Linked DNA regions of Callithrix jacchus. The protein of the gene in region 2 purifies or fractionates together with the protein of the main gene of each other region. This does not show direct contact. Links are inferred from orthologs where the notes say so. Each region holds a gene or a part of one and is shown on either strand. Other genes may lie near its edges.

Region 1 (7,179 bases), on a different chromosome or scaffold from region 2:
ATGGTGAAACCCCATCTGTACTAAAAACACAAACAACAACAAAAAAATAGCTGGGCAGTAGTGGCGCATGTCTGTAATCCCAGCTACTCAGGAGGCTGAGGCAAGAGAATTGCTAGAGCCTGGGAGGTGGAGGTTGCAGTTAGCTGAGATCATGCCACTGTATTCCAGTCTGGGTGACAGAATGAGACCCTGCCTCAAAAAAGAAAAAAACGGCCAGACGCAGTGGCTCACTCCTGTAATCCCAGCACTTTGGGAGGCTGAGGAGGGTGGATCATGAGGTCAGGAGTTCAAGACCAACCTGACCAACATGGTGAAATTAGCTCTCTACTAAAAATACAAAAATTAGCCAGGTGTGGTGGCATGCGCCTGTAATCTCAGCTACTCAGATGGCTGGGGCAGGACCATCGCTTGAACCCAGGAGGCAGAGGTTGCAGTGAGCCGAGATCACACCACTGCACTCCAGCCTGGGCGACAGAATGAGATTTTGTCTCAAAAAAAGGGAAAAGAAAAAAGAAAGAATGAGCCACATGTTATGGTGCATGTCCAGGAGGTTGAGGCTGCAGTGAGCCGTGTTCATGCCAGTGCACTCCAGCTTGGGCAACAGAGTGATATTCTGTCTTAAAACAATAACAACAACAAAAAAAGGCTGGGCACAGTGGCTCACACCAGCAATCCAAGCTGGGCATAGTGGCTCACACCTATAATCCCAGCACTATAGGAGTCCTAAGTGGGCGGATCACCTGAGGTCAGGAGTTCGAGACCAGCCTGGTCAACATGGCAAAACCCTATCTCTACTAAAAATAAAAAATTAGCCGGTAGTGGTGGCACACGCTTGTAAACCCAACTACTTGGGAGGCTGAGACAGGAGAATCAGTAGAACCTGGGAGGCGGAGGCTACAGTGAGCCGAGATCATGCTGCTGCACTCCAGCCCGGGCAACAGCAAGACCCCGTCTCAAAACATGAAGAGAGAACTAGAGAGCCCACGGCCCGCAAGGCCACAAGACCGAGAATTCCTTAGGAGCCAAATGGAGCACGAGACCTGTGATGAAAGCCAATCAGAGGACTGCCATGGAGGAAGGCACGAATCGACGTCTGCAGGCCTGATTCTCCATGTGCCCCCAGCTAGGTAACCATCAGATTTCCTGAGTGCCCACAGTGAGGGAGGGGAGGGAAGAAAGTCGCCCTGGCCTGACCGAGAATCCAGACATCACATTCCTGACGGAACACAGGCTGCCACATTCTCATTCAGAGCTGCTCTGAGGACCCTAGCCAGCAGGAGTCTGTTCCGATGTCTTTCTGCCCCTGCACCACTGGGTAAGACAGAAAGTCTCGAATCCAGAGCTGCTCAGGCGAGGAGCTGAGCAGCCCGAGCCCTGGGAACCCGCAGGCAACCCCAAAGCCTCAGCACACTTTTCAGCATGCCCCGGGGACATCCGGCAATGTCTGGAGACACCCTGTCAGACTGGGCGATGTGTGTGCTACTGGCATTGTGGGTGGAGGCCAAAGGTGCAGAGTCACCAACATAGAGTCACCACTTCCTGCTAAGGACTCTCTCAGAGGAGGCTCCAAAAATTGTCCAAGATCATTCTCCTTTGTATGCCCCTTGCTCCAGCCACCAAGCGTCCTTTGTGCTGCCTTCACTGGGACAAACCACCTGTTGCCTCAGGACCTTGGCACGCCCCTTCCTGTGCCTGGCTCATTCTCCTGTGGGAGACCCTTGCCCCCGCAGTGCTCCCACCACACAGACCCTGTCCTCCTCTAGTGGCCCCGTCCCACTCAGAGTGACAGTGATGTCTCCTTTATGGGGGCCCCCACGCCCACCTATCCCTGTCGCCTCCTGCCACGCTGGCCTCCTTACTGTCCTGGGAGCTCCCACTATTCTCGCTTCCAAGGTGCTCTTTCCTTAGCTCTTTCAAAGCCCTGATCACTGTCCCTGGACAGAAAGGGCTCCCCCTTCCCTGGGCTGAGCCTGCGGCTGCCCACCACTCCCCACTGTGTCTTCCTTCTGGAACTGTCCACACTGGTCAAATGTGGCCGCCTGCACTGGAAGGCAGGCTCCACTAGGGGCTCCCCGATCCGTGCTCAGCAAGGTCTGGCCCCATCGGACAAGTGACAGTCTCCAGAACAAGACATAAGTTCTAAAAGCACAGGGTTCATATCATGGCCACATGCCAGGCACCCAGCAGAGACCTGCCGTGTGCCCAGTACACAACAAATGTGGGCAGAGTGAAGGAATGAATGGGAGAACCAGGCATGCAGATTAACAGTAAGTTTAGGGCATGAAAAGCTGCTGCATGACTGAGGTGAGCATGTACACAGAAATAATTCTGAAAAACCTTACAGGCTCAGAGACTTAACATTCTGGAAGGAACCCTGGAAGCCAGTTAGTTCTAGCTCATTATTCCTCATGGCCATAAGAGAAATCTTCATTAAGTCTCAATAGGCAAGGCGGACAGGCACATCTGTTAACATCCAAAAAGCTTGCCTGCTCATAGCCGTAGGGCCGCTGCTGCTGGGCAGAGGGTGCCGTCTGCGGTGCTCTGTAGCTTCCGTACTGCTGGCCTTGGCCTTGCTGGTAGCCGGGGTACTGCGAGGGGGCTCCCTGGGCAGGCCCTGAGAAAACAGCAGAAACCGTGAGGCAGGCCAAAATGGGTGCATCCGTCTTTCTGCACCGGCAGGAGCTTCACGTTAACTCCGTATGGCGAGAGCAGCACACAACCAACTCACCAGCCCCTCCAGTCCTGTGAGGTTGCAGGACTGTGCCCCAAGCCTGCCACCAGCATGGGGGCACTGACGGCCTCTCTGCATCACCCCTGAGCTGCTGCTACCCAAAGATGGAGGAGCAGGAGAGCCCTCCAGAACCCGCTGGTGCCAGTCACACTGGCTGCTCTAAGTTAACTATCACAGGAGCTGCGGAAAACTTACAGAGGCATCGTCTCTAGGAAGCCTAAGTCAAAGGCTTTGGAGAGGACTGATGAAGGCCAAGTAATTTTTTTTTTGAGACAGGGTCTCACTCTGTCACCCAGGATGGAGTGCAGTGGCATGATCTTGGCTCATGGCAACCTCCACCTTCTGGGCTCAAGTGATTCTCCTGCTTCAGCCTCCCAAGTAGCTGGAACCACAGAAGTACACCACCATGCCGGCTCGTTTTTGTATTTTTTTGTAGAGATGGTTTCACTATGTCACCCAGGCTGGTCTCAAACTCCTGGCCTCAATCAGTCCTTCGGCTTCAGCCTCCCAAAGTGCTGTGATTATAGACATGAGCCACCACAATGAGCCTCAAGTTCTTTTTATTTTGAGACAGAGTCTCGCTCTGTCACCCAGGCTGGAGTGCAGTGGCACGACCTTGGCTCACTGCAACCTCCATCTTCCAGGTTCAAGCAATTCTCCTGTCTCAGCCTCCCTAGTAGCTGGGATTACAGGCACACACCACCATGCCTGGCTAATTTATTTTTAATTAATTAAAAATAAAAAAAAAGATGGGGTTTCGCCATATTGGTCAGGCTGGTCTTGAACCCCTGACCTCAGGTGATCTGCCCGCCTCTGCCTCCCAAAGTGCTGGAATTATAGGGGTGAGCCGCTGTTCCCAGCCTCCTCAAGTGATATTTAAACTACTATTTAATTAGCGATGGCCCTAAAGGGTGAGCAACCTTTAACAGGGCCTCTCCTTCCTCACCACAGCAGAATCATGCATGAGTCTCACAAGAAGTCACGTGGGTGAGGCTCATCCTGAGAACTGAGATTTTGCACAGACTGATCTGGGGCAGCCCCAGACCTTATTTTTCAGAAGCTTCCTGGGTGATTCTAAGCTGCAGTGAATGCCGAGACCCACAGGCTTTGACCTGCTCTGTCAAAGAGGTTGAAGCTGGGCATGGAGCGTGCAGGTGGCGGATGGACAGGACACTGGCTCCCTCACAGGCTGCTTGGGCAATGAATTTATGTTGATGTTTAAGTTACAATGTTTCAGGCCGACATGCATGGATGTTCCCAACTTCTCTGGAAACCTAAAGCTATTCAAAATAAGAAGCTGATTACACATCTGCCTATGTACCAGGGTTGCTGCACACGTGTCTGTGTGCGCTGGGGGGCCCTGAGGAACATGCCCCGCTTACCGTAGCCCTGCTGCTGCCCGGGGTAGCTCTGCTGGCTGGGGTACTGCTGCTGGGAGTAGGCCTGCTGCTGCGCGGCGCCCTGCTGGTACCCGGCCTGCTGCTGGCTGTACTGAGAGTTCCCTGGAGGGAGAAGGAGACACGTAGCTGACTTCCTGCGCAGGCTATAGGAGCCGTCCAGGCTAAGGCAGCGCATTCTTTGAGCAGCTCACGACACGTTAACTCTGGAATTCCAAAACCAAATCTGTGGCTTTGGCATGTACACTTTCTCACAACGATTCAAATACTAAACTATACCTTTTTCTTATCTTACGGAAATACAAATGGAAAGCTAAGAAATGAAACTGTTAACGCGACAACTAAGACAGAGACGAACGCCAGCATTGTGGGCGGAACAGTGCTCCCCAGAGAGATGCTGAAGTCCTGGGAGGACTCAGTCAAAGGATTCAGAAAGAACTGATAAAGCCAAGTTATTATTAATAACTCACTCTGTCACCAGGTGGAGTGCAGTGGCGCAATCTCGGCTCCCTGCAGCCTCTGCCTCCACCTCCAGGGCTCAAGTGAGCCAAGGGCCTGCGAATGGGACCTTATCTGGGCATAGAGTCTGTGCAGACATAATTTTATTTTTTTCAGTGACAGGCCCTCACTCTCTCACCCAGGCTTGAGTGCAGTGGTGCCATCAAAGCTCACTGCAGCTTCAATCTCCCTGGCTCAAGTGATCCTCTGACTTGAGCCTCCTGAGTAGCTAGGACTATAGGTATGTACCAGCATGCCCAGATAATTTTTAAATCTTTTGTAGAGACAGGGTCTCCTTATGTTTCCCAGGCTAACCTCAAGCAAGCCTGCTGCACCGGCCTTCCAAACCGTTGGGATTACAGGCGTATGCCACCATGCTCCATGCAAAGAGTCAATTTTCCTATTTTACTTGTCTGGTTGGAAATAACTTTCCTTTTTCAGAAGCTGTAAAATTTAAGTATTTTAAAACTGGAATCTAGTAATGTATTTTTTAAAATAACAGCTTTATTGAGATGATGCACATTGGAATAGCTTAAAAACCCATCAGGGTAACTCAACCTGTGGTTAGATGGGATGACAAAACACCTGCTTTTATTCCAGGTTGAGCTCCTCCCTAAGGTGAGAACTTTGGAGAAACCTGCTTAAGCCTTCCCAGTTACTCTTCATCCAGGAAATCCCTTGAGTCCTGAACTTCCATACCTCCCTCAAAATCCAGGGCCGGTTCCAGTGACAGCTGGCAAACGAGCTGTCATCATCACGTGGGAGGACTTAAGGTCGCTGTTCTCAATCCTGCCCCCAGGAAAGCCATCTGATATGGGGGGTTTCTCAGAGGTGTCAGCCTGCATATCCTCATGTTTTATAGCCCACTTTATTCTTTATATAATTAAGGAGCCAGTTTGCAGGAAATGGGCCAGCTCTGCCCTGGCACATAGCCGGCACACAACAACTGTGCAAGTGCCAGCCTAGAACACACAGCCCCAGTCCACAGGGACCAGGCCTGGCTCTCACACCCCCGTGGGTGCTCAGCCGATCTACTGTGAACGGGCAGCAGCTGCCCTATCCCCTGAGAAAGGGGGCTGCTGAGATAACTCTGCAGGGAAAGGGGGCACAAAGGCTGTGGAAAAGACCTTTGCTGTTTTCAGATATGTTTCATGAAACCAGCAGAGCCGGGGGAGCCCAGGCTGTGCTCTTGACAGGAAAGCAATGGGGTGGGTAGATATGGGGCCTTTCCTCTGCAACCAGCAAATACTCCATGGTTCTTCCTTTTCTTTCTCTAAATACCTCTGGCATTCTGCGGGGCGTCTGTGAGAAGGTGCTGGGCAGCCTGGTGCATCTGTGTAACAACAGGCCAGAACGTGCCTGGTTACGTTGCCTCCTCTGCTTGCTCAGAAGGAGCACGATGCGGTCACAATTGGCCACAAGGAATAAGTGAATGGGCAGCTCAGAGCCGTCACATAAATACAGTGATCCACACAAGGATGCAGCCAAGGTAGCCCCGGCCTCCCCACCCCGTCGTCCACTCCAGGACACGCTGGTCACCACCTGGCGACAGCCTGTGAAACACACACACGCCGGGTGCTCTTGGGACTCCAGGAGGTATGGACAGCCATAAGGTAGGGTCCTTTCAGTTTCTGTGACAGCCAATGATGTTCCTTTTTTTCCAGATGGAATCTCGCCTCTGTCGCCCCAGGCTGCAGTGCACTTGGGTGATCTCAGCTCACTGCAACCTCTGCCTCCCAGGTTCAACTGATTCTCTTACCTTAGCCTTGCAAGAAGCTGGGATTACAGACCCATGCCACCACGCCTGGCTAATTTTTCTATTTCTGAGTAGAGATGGAGTTTCACCATGTTGGCCAGGCTGGTCTCAAACTCCTGACCTCAAGTGATCCACCTGCCTCAGCCTCCCAAAGTGCTGGGATTATAGGGATGAGCCACTGTTCTCGGCCCCAGTAATGGTTCGCTCCTGAAGCTGCCAGCACATCCACATGATTCAAAGGTAAATGCAGACAGACCCACACCTTCAAGAGGTCCTGGAAAGGAGGCCATGTCCACCCCTGCTCTAGCCTAACCCCGTCTTCCACTGTAAGCGTTTCTGTTAGTTGTTTTGGTGTTTGTCCAGTTGGTCGATAGCGTGAGCGTGCGTGTGCGCAAGTGTACAGTCTCATCTTCCTTGCATTTTCACAGAGAGGGCGCATCCCATCCAGCTCCACACCCGGCTCTTGCAGCTCATGGGGCGGTCTCTCCTAAGGGCCATGGTGCCCAGCAGCCAGGTCACGAGGGGCCAGGCTCTGTGCAGTCTCTGAGCCACTGCAAACCTCACTTCCATGCAAGTGCAGGGCTTGTACTCCACCTGGGCCTCTCCCCCACCACGCACATCCCAATGCTCCTGCCCAGCATGCGTGGCCCCATGGCCCCTGGTGTCCCCTCCCAGCTTGGTCGGCCCCACTCTGGTCCCCTCCTATTACTGGTGCCCTGTGCATGAGCACCCTCCTGTTTTACTGGATTCTGCAGGCTCCTAATAGATGCTGTCACCAGGAACAATTCCAGCCCCAG
Region 2 (7,082 bases):
CAACCTCCCTGAGCCGCACTTGCATCATGTGGGAAACAGGAATGAAGTCCCGCAGCCCTGGGGGTTGTTTGGAGAAAGGCGCTGGGCAGCAGGACTGAGAGAGAGAGCTGCCCGAGGGGCACGTGTGGTGAGCAAGGGCAGGAAGGGCAGCGGCCAGCTGGCAGCTGTCACCTCACGTGGGTGAAGGAGGCCCCTGGCTTGGGCTCACTGTCCACATAGGGACCAAGCTGGTTCCAGGCCAAGGTCGATGTCTGAGATCTGGGCCAGCTGGGGCTGCAGCCCGGACCACCCACCTGCACTGTAGCTAATATGTCCCCGGGACCCCACAAATGGGCTTCGCACAGGTGGTCACACAAAGTTGTTTCTGTAGGCTCCCCTCATTTTTTCTCTTAAAAATTATTTTCCTTAAAAATTTTTTTTTGGGCCGGGCACGGTGGCCCACACCTGTAATCGCAGCACATTAGGAGCCTGAGGTGGGTGGATCACAAGGTCAACAGATCCAGACTACCAGGCCAACATGGTAAAAACCCATCTCTACTAAAAAATATAAAAATTAGCTGGGTGTGGTGGCACATGCCTGTAGTCCCAGCTACTTGGGAGGCTGAGGCAGGAGAAATGCTTGAACCCAGGCGGCAGAGGTTGCAGTGAGCTGAGATTGTGACACTGCACTCCAGCCTGGTGACAGACCGACACTCATCTCAATTTTTTTTTTTTGCCAGGCACGGTGGCTCATGCCAGGAATCCCAGGACTTGGGGAAGCCAAGGCGGGCAGATCACCTGAGGTCGCTCCAAAGAGAGCCTGATGCATGTCTCTGCCCAGCAGAACTCAAGTGCACCCCGAGAGGAACCACGGGCAGAAAGCAAAGGTAGGGCCAGCCTGCAAACTGCCTGGGCAGAGCCACTAACTCAGCGTTTGGACGAAAGTTCTGACCAATCACCAACTGACGTCTCAGCTCAGCTGACCCAGGGGTGACTCCTTCAAAAGAAAAACAAGAGCCGCCGAGCACAGTGTAATCGCAGCACTTGGGGAGGCTGAGGCAGATGGATCACGAGGTCAAGAGCTCAAGACCACCCTGGCCAACATGTCAGACTTAAAGACTGCAAAGCCGCTATTAAAAATCGATGCTGGGCTTGGTGGCACACTTCTGTGGACCCAGATACTGTGGAGGCTGCAGGAGGAGGATTATCTGAGCTCTGAATTGAGGCTGTAGTGAGCTGACTGCATTGCTGCACTCCAGCCTGGGCAACAGAGCAATACCCTGTCTTGATTTATAAAACAGGGTGAGGTAGGAGGATTGCTTGAATTCAGGAGTTCGAGACCAGCCTGGGTAACATGCTGACACCCCGCCTCTAAGAAAAACACAAAAATTAATGGCCAGGCTATTCTCTGCACTTTGGGAGGCCAAGGCGGGTGGATCACCTGAGGTCGGAGTTTCAGAGCAGCCTGGCCAACATGATGAAAGCCAGTCTCTACTAAAAATACAAAAAATTAGCTGGGCATGGTGGCCTTTAACACCAGCTCCTCAGGAGGCTGAGGCAGGATAACGGCTTGAACTTGGGAGGCAGAGGTTGCAGTGAGCCGAGATCACGCCTCTACATTCTAGCCTGGGCGACACAGACTTCGTGTCAAAAAAGAAACAAAAAAGAAAACCTCAAATTATTTTCTGGATTTAGAAGCCCTTCCTGACCACCGGGCTTCCTGCGCTTTATGCCCTGAGCTTCCTGCAGAATGGGCCTGACCGAGAGCTCTATGTGACGTCTGCCCGTTTCTGTGAGGGTCTCCACAACCCAGCCCTGGCCACAGGCAGGGAAGGGACAGAGCCACCTGCTCCCCGCACCGTAGGACCCAGGTGAATGCATGCTGGAGAGCTGTGGCAGCAAAGGCCACCTGCATAGCCAGGCAAGTCCTCTCTCCCTGCCACGTCTTCAGGATCCTCCTCTGTGAAATGGGCCCCATGGGTTCTGGTGCTGGGAGGACGGGGACCTGGACATGAGGTGGCCCCGCCACTACTGCTGGCAGAAACCCGGGGAGCCAGGCATGAGTCCACCTGTAGGCTGTGCGTTTTGTTGTTGGTTTAATTTATTACTGATTGACATCCAGTGACACTGACATACCCCGGCGAGTCTGACCTGTCCAGTAAAATACAGTACGAGGAGTGGACGGTGACGCACATGCATCCACGCTGAACTACAGTGACTCCAAACTGCCGGGAAAGGAAAAGAAAAACAGGTATCGTGTGTTCCCCAATTCCGAATTCTCTCTCTCTCTCTGTTAGACAGTTAATGCTGTTACAAACGCTACTGATGCCAGGACAGGGCCAGTCACAAACAGTCCTACAGCTTCTCTGCCGTATAAATATGGAAGATTCTTTTGTTTATACAGTTTTATCCCAAGTCTGAAACTACGTCTGTTGCTACCCGTTACTGCTAAGGCCTATGCCATCTCGGCTCTGGAACGAGGGGCTCGGGGTCGAGACTGGAATGTCGGGGTTCAGTCTTCCTCACTGCCACTTCCTGAGCGGTCCTGGAGAGGAGACAGGAGAGAGTGAGTGTTAGCTGCCCCTGCCAGAGGCCTGCCAAGCATTAAATAAACTTGCTCAAGAAAAAAAAAACTGACGCTGGCCACAGAAGCTGCCGCAACCACGGCCACACCCCAACTTCATGTTTCTCTAGAGCAGCAGTCCCTGTGCCCACACTCACTCTCTTGGGACCCGTGAGGCTCCATGTGCCTTCCCTGCTCTGTCCCATGTCACTTGCCTGGCCTTGGGCCCCTGACCTACAGCTTCCAAAACATTTTGGCTCTTCCTGACTGCGAAAGATCTTTGCGCTTTCATGTAATTTTTTTTTTTTTTTTGAGACAGAGTGTAGTGGTGCGATCTTGGCTCATTACAACCTCCGCCTACTGGGTTCGAGCAATTGTCCTGCCTCAGCCTCCTGAGTAGCTGGGATTACAGGCGTGTGCCACCACACCTGGCTAATTTTTATATTTTTAGTAGAGACAGGTTTCACGATGTAGTTCAAGCTGGTTCTGAATTCCTGACCTTGTGATTCACCCGCCTTGGCCTCCCAAAGTGTTGGGATTACAAGCACGAGCCACCGTGCCCAGTCCTTTTATTTTTATTAAAAAAAAAAAAAAAAAAATTTTTTTTAAGACAGGGTCTTGCTCTGTTGCCCAGGCTGAAGTGCAGTGGTGCGATTATGGCTCTCTACAGCCTCTACCTCCCAGGCTCAAGTAATCCTCCTGCCTCAGCTTCCCAAAGTGCTGGGATTAACAGGTGTGAGCCACCAGGCCTGGCCTCATAAAGCCTTTTTTTTTTTTTGGAGACGGAGTTTTGCTGTTGTTACCTAGAATGGAGTGCAATGGCACAATCTCGGCTCGCCGCAACCTCTGCCTCCTGGGTTCAAGCAATTCTCCTGCCTCAGCCTCCCGAGTAGCTGGGACTACAGGTGTGCACCATCATGCTCAGCTAATTTTTGTATTTTTAGTAGAGACGGGGTTTCACCTTGTTGACCAGGATGGTCTCGATCTCTTGACCTTGTGATCCACCCGCCTCAGCCTCCCAAAGTGCTGGGATTATAGGCGTGAGCCACCATGCCCGGCCTCATAAAGCCTTTTTAAGCCTGGCATGGGCCATAAAACACGCTGTTCTGGGTTGGGCAAGAGAGATGCCACTACAGCCCAGACCCTCCTGTCTGACACACGGGCCTCCCTTCCCCATGAGGACTTCATGAATGTCCTCAAAGGTCACGTGCCTGTTTTGTCAGACTAATTCCCAGGCACAGACATTTCCTACTTCTGTAATGACCAAATGGCATTCATCAGGCTTTGGTGGGAGCCAGGCCTCGAGCGGGGGCAGCCCCCATAATCCACGCAGCCTCCTTGTTTGCTAAGAGGAAGCTGAAGCTTTCAGAAGCAGAGTGGCCTGCCAGGTCCCATAGCCAGGAAGGGCCAGAGACAAAGACGACGTATCTTATTTATAGCTAGCAAGGGGGCTAAGCGCAGTGGCTCACACCTGTAATCCCAGCACTTTAGGAGGCCGAGGCGGGTGGATCACAAGGTCAGGAGATCGAGACCATCCTGGCCAAACGGTGAAACACCATCTCTACTAAAATACAAAAAAATCATGGGGCGTGGTGGTATGTGCCTGTAGTCACAGCTACTTGGGGTGACAGCTGAGGCAGAAGAATCGCTTGAAGCCAGGAGGTACAGGTTGCAGTGAGCTGAAATGATGCCACTGCATACCAGCCTGGCAATAGAGTGAGACTCTGTCTCAAAAAAAGCCAGTAAATGTATCTGTTCAGGCTCCCCCACTGCCCCCCCAGAAACTTTCCACTGTGTGCCACTAAGGAGATGGGGCACTGCCTGGTGGGTCCTCAATCCTGGCACCTCCCACCTGACCCCAATCAACCCCTGGCCTGCCCAGCCTCACCCCAGACGCTGGTGCCCTAGGCCCACCTCCTGTCCATCCTGAGACCTCAGGTCCCCCAGTCCCCAGACATGCACAGGTATTGATAGCTGGTTTTAGGGTCACACAGGCCTGGGCTTAAGTGGCAGCTCTGCCACGTACTTGCTGTGTGACCACGGGCCAGCCATGGAACGTGAAGCCTCAGTTTCCCCATCTGCAGAGTGGGAGTATTGCCCCGTAGGGCCATCCCGTCAGGGCCCTGGGCTGCCTCCTGCTGCCCGCCAGCCCTGCCTGCCCCACCTGCCCCGCCTGCCCCGGGGCCCAGCCTCACCTCCTCTTGTTCCTCCTCACTGTCATCGTCACTTACGACCGGCTTGGCTCGGGACCCTCGGCTCGGCCGCCGCCGGCTGCCCTTCAGCCGGTCCTGTGCCTTCTCCTTCCGGCCAAGCTTGATCTTCACTTTGACAGATCGAGCTGGAGGGGACCAGAAGGAAAAGGGAGCTGTGAGCTCTGGGAACACAGCACCTCTACAGCAAGGGGCATCTGGGAGCTGGGAGGGCTGTGAACAGCTGGGGCCTTGGGGGCTCTCAGACCAGCGTGAACCCTGGCATCCTGAACCCCCGAGGGACTCACACTCAGATTCGGAGCCTTCCTCCTCGCCCTCTTCCTCCTCCTCACTCTCCTCGCCTTCACTGTCATCCTCCTTCTCAATCTTCTGCCTTACGCTGGTGAAGACTGACTGCAGGACGATGGAGTCTTCATAGATCTGGGTGGAGACACCAGGGGCTTGAGTGGATGGGCCCGATGGGAGGGCTGCCTGCCTGGCCCCAGCACCAGCCCTGTTTTGCCCCTGGACAGCTCATCAGTGGCCAGTACGAGTCTCAGTGGGCTGGGGCTTCAGCCCACCCAAGGTGGAGGGCCCTCTCTATAATCGTCCTGCACAGGTACCCCAAAGAGCAACAGGCTTCTGCAGTGCTCCAGGATGAATGCTCAGGCACACTGGTTTGGGACTGGCTGCAGGTGCCTTCCTCTTTCTGGAGAAGGTCTGCAATAACATTAGAAATGCATGCCCCTAGGGCTGGGCGAGGTGGCCCACGCCTGTAATCCCAGCCCAGGCAGGAGGATTAGGAGGTCAAGAGATCAAGAGCCTCCTGGCCAATGGTAAGCATCCTTACCATTTAGTAGAGATGGTAAAACCCCATCTCTACTAAAAATGCAAAAATAGCTGGGTGTGGTGGCAGGTGTCTATAGTCCCAGCTACTCTGGAGGCTGAGGCAGGAGAATCACTTGAACCCAGGAGGTTGAGGTTGCAGTGAGCTGAGATCACTCCAGCATGGGTGACAGAGTAAGACTCCGTGTAAAAAAAAAAAAAAAAAATGCAAGCTCCGTGTGGAAGCCAGCATCTTCCCCAAATTCATCAAAATCAAATCTGTTTTTCTGAGGGGTATTGATCCCAAACACACTAAGAGAACTTTGCCAAGCTGAGGCTGTGTATGTGTGTCAATTCCATCACGGGCAAGAACACATCCATAGCGTTCCTTTGAAGACAGTGTGCCCCAAGGAATTTAAATAAAATTCCAACAGACAGAGGACTCTGTCTACTTCTTCTGTTGTGCCTATCTTTATTTTCTTCAGTAAATACTCATGGTTTTTGTAATTACTAAAATATCCCAAGTTGTTCGAAATTAAAAAAAATTTTTTTGAGACAGGGTCTTGCTATGTTTCCCAGGCTGGTCTTGAACTCCTGGTCTCATGTGATCCTCCTGCCTCAGACTCCCAAAGTGCAGGGATTACAGGCATGAACCACCACACCTTGCAGGAATTGTGTGGTTCTTTTTGGTGGTGGTGGTTTTTTGGTTTTGAGACTGGGTTTCACTCTCGTTGCCCAGGCTGGAGTTCAACAGCATGACCTTGGCTCACCGCAACTTCCGCCTCTGGGACTCGAGCGATTCTCCTGCCTCAGCCTCCCAAGCAGTTGTGATTACAGGTGCCTGCCACCATGCCCAGCTAATTTTTGTATTTTGAGTAAAGATGGGGTTTCACCATGTTGGCCAAGCTGGTCTTGAACTCCTAATTTCAGGTGATCCACCTGCCTTGGCCTCCCAAAGTGCTGGGATTACAGGTGTGAGCCACCACGCCTGGCCAGGGAATTGTTTTTAACCCGTCAATTCAGAAGGGACGGAGAGGTGGGCTGGTTCAAAGCCCAGTTGTGGGAGTGGCCCATCCCCACCCCCAAGCGGTGCCCTTACCAGGGAGCCCTCCAGGTTGAAGGTCTGCGCGTTCTGGCACAGCAGCATGACGTCCTTCTCCAGGTCATTGAGGCTGCGGTACTTGTGGTTGCGGATGCGCTCCTGCAAGGGGTGGGAAGAGCAGGTCTCACCTCTGGACCCCGCCTCCCCTGCTGCAGGCCCTGTTGCGTGCTGGGAACCCTGAGGGCTAGGATTCCTCATGCCTATGAGTTATGTGGCTGAAGCCCCAGCTCACCAGACACAGGAACGGCATGACCAAGGCCCAGCACTTGAGGGAGTGTGACCTCGAAGGAGCAGCCAAAACCAATGGCCCACTGACATCCCTTGGGACACTCCCAACCCCCAAAAGGAACCCCAAAAAGCCCATGAACAGGTCCCTAACCAGGTAGCCCAAGGCCCTGCCCAGGTGGTTTCTGGTCATTATTCC

What was found.
Region 1: the proteins of SMARCA4 (region 2) and SS18L1 purify together in Homo sapiens (affinity purification with mass spectrometry; 3 studies listed by BioGRID and IntAct, with this or other methods). This does not show direct contact. The link is inferred for Callithrix jacchus from reciprocal best matches to the Homo sapiens genes SMARCA4 and SS18L1.

The regions. Positions count from the first base shown.
Region 1 is NC_133506.1:57,733,752-57,740,930, reverse strand, and holds the end of SS18L1 (calcium-responsive transactivator), read right to left. Parts: intron 4,234-7,179; coding exon 4,114-4,233; intron 2,615-4,113; coding exon 2,400-2,614; 3' UTR 2,285-2,399; downstream 1-2,284. UniProt on the Homo sapiens protein: Transcriptional activator which is required for calcium-dependent dendritic growth and branching in cortical neurons. Recruits CREB-binding protein (CREBBP) to nuclear bodies.
Region 2 is NC_133523.1:10,212,632-10,219,713, reverse strand, and holds the end of SMARCA4 (SWI/SNF-related matrix-associated actin-dependent regulator of chromatin subfamily A member 4), read right to left. Parts: intron 6,758-7,082; coding exon 6,656-6,757; intron 5,173-6,655; coding exon 5,040-5,172; intron 4,881-5,039; coding exon 4,738-4,880; intron 2,613-4,737; exon of another isoform or gene 2,525-2,612; coding exon 2,492-2,524; 3' UTR 2,063-2,491; downstream 1-2,062. UniProt on the Homo sapiens protein: ATPase involved in transcriptional activation and repression of select genes by chromatin remodeling (alteration of DNA-nucleosome topology).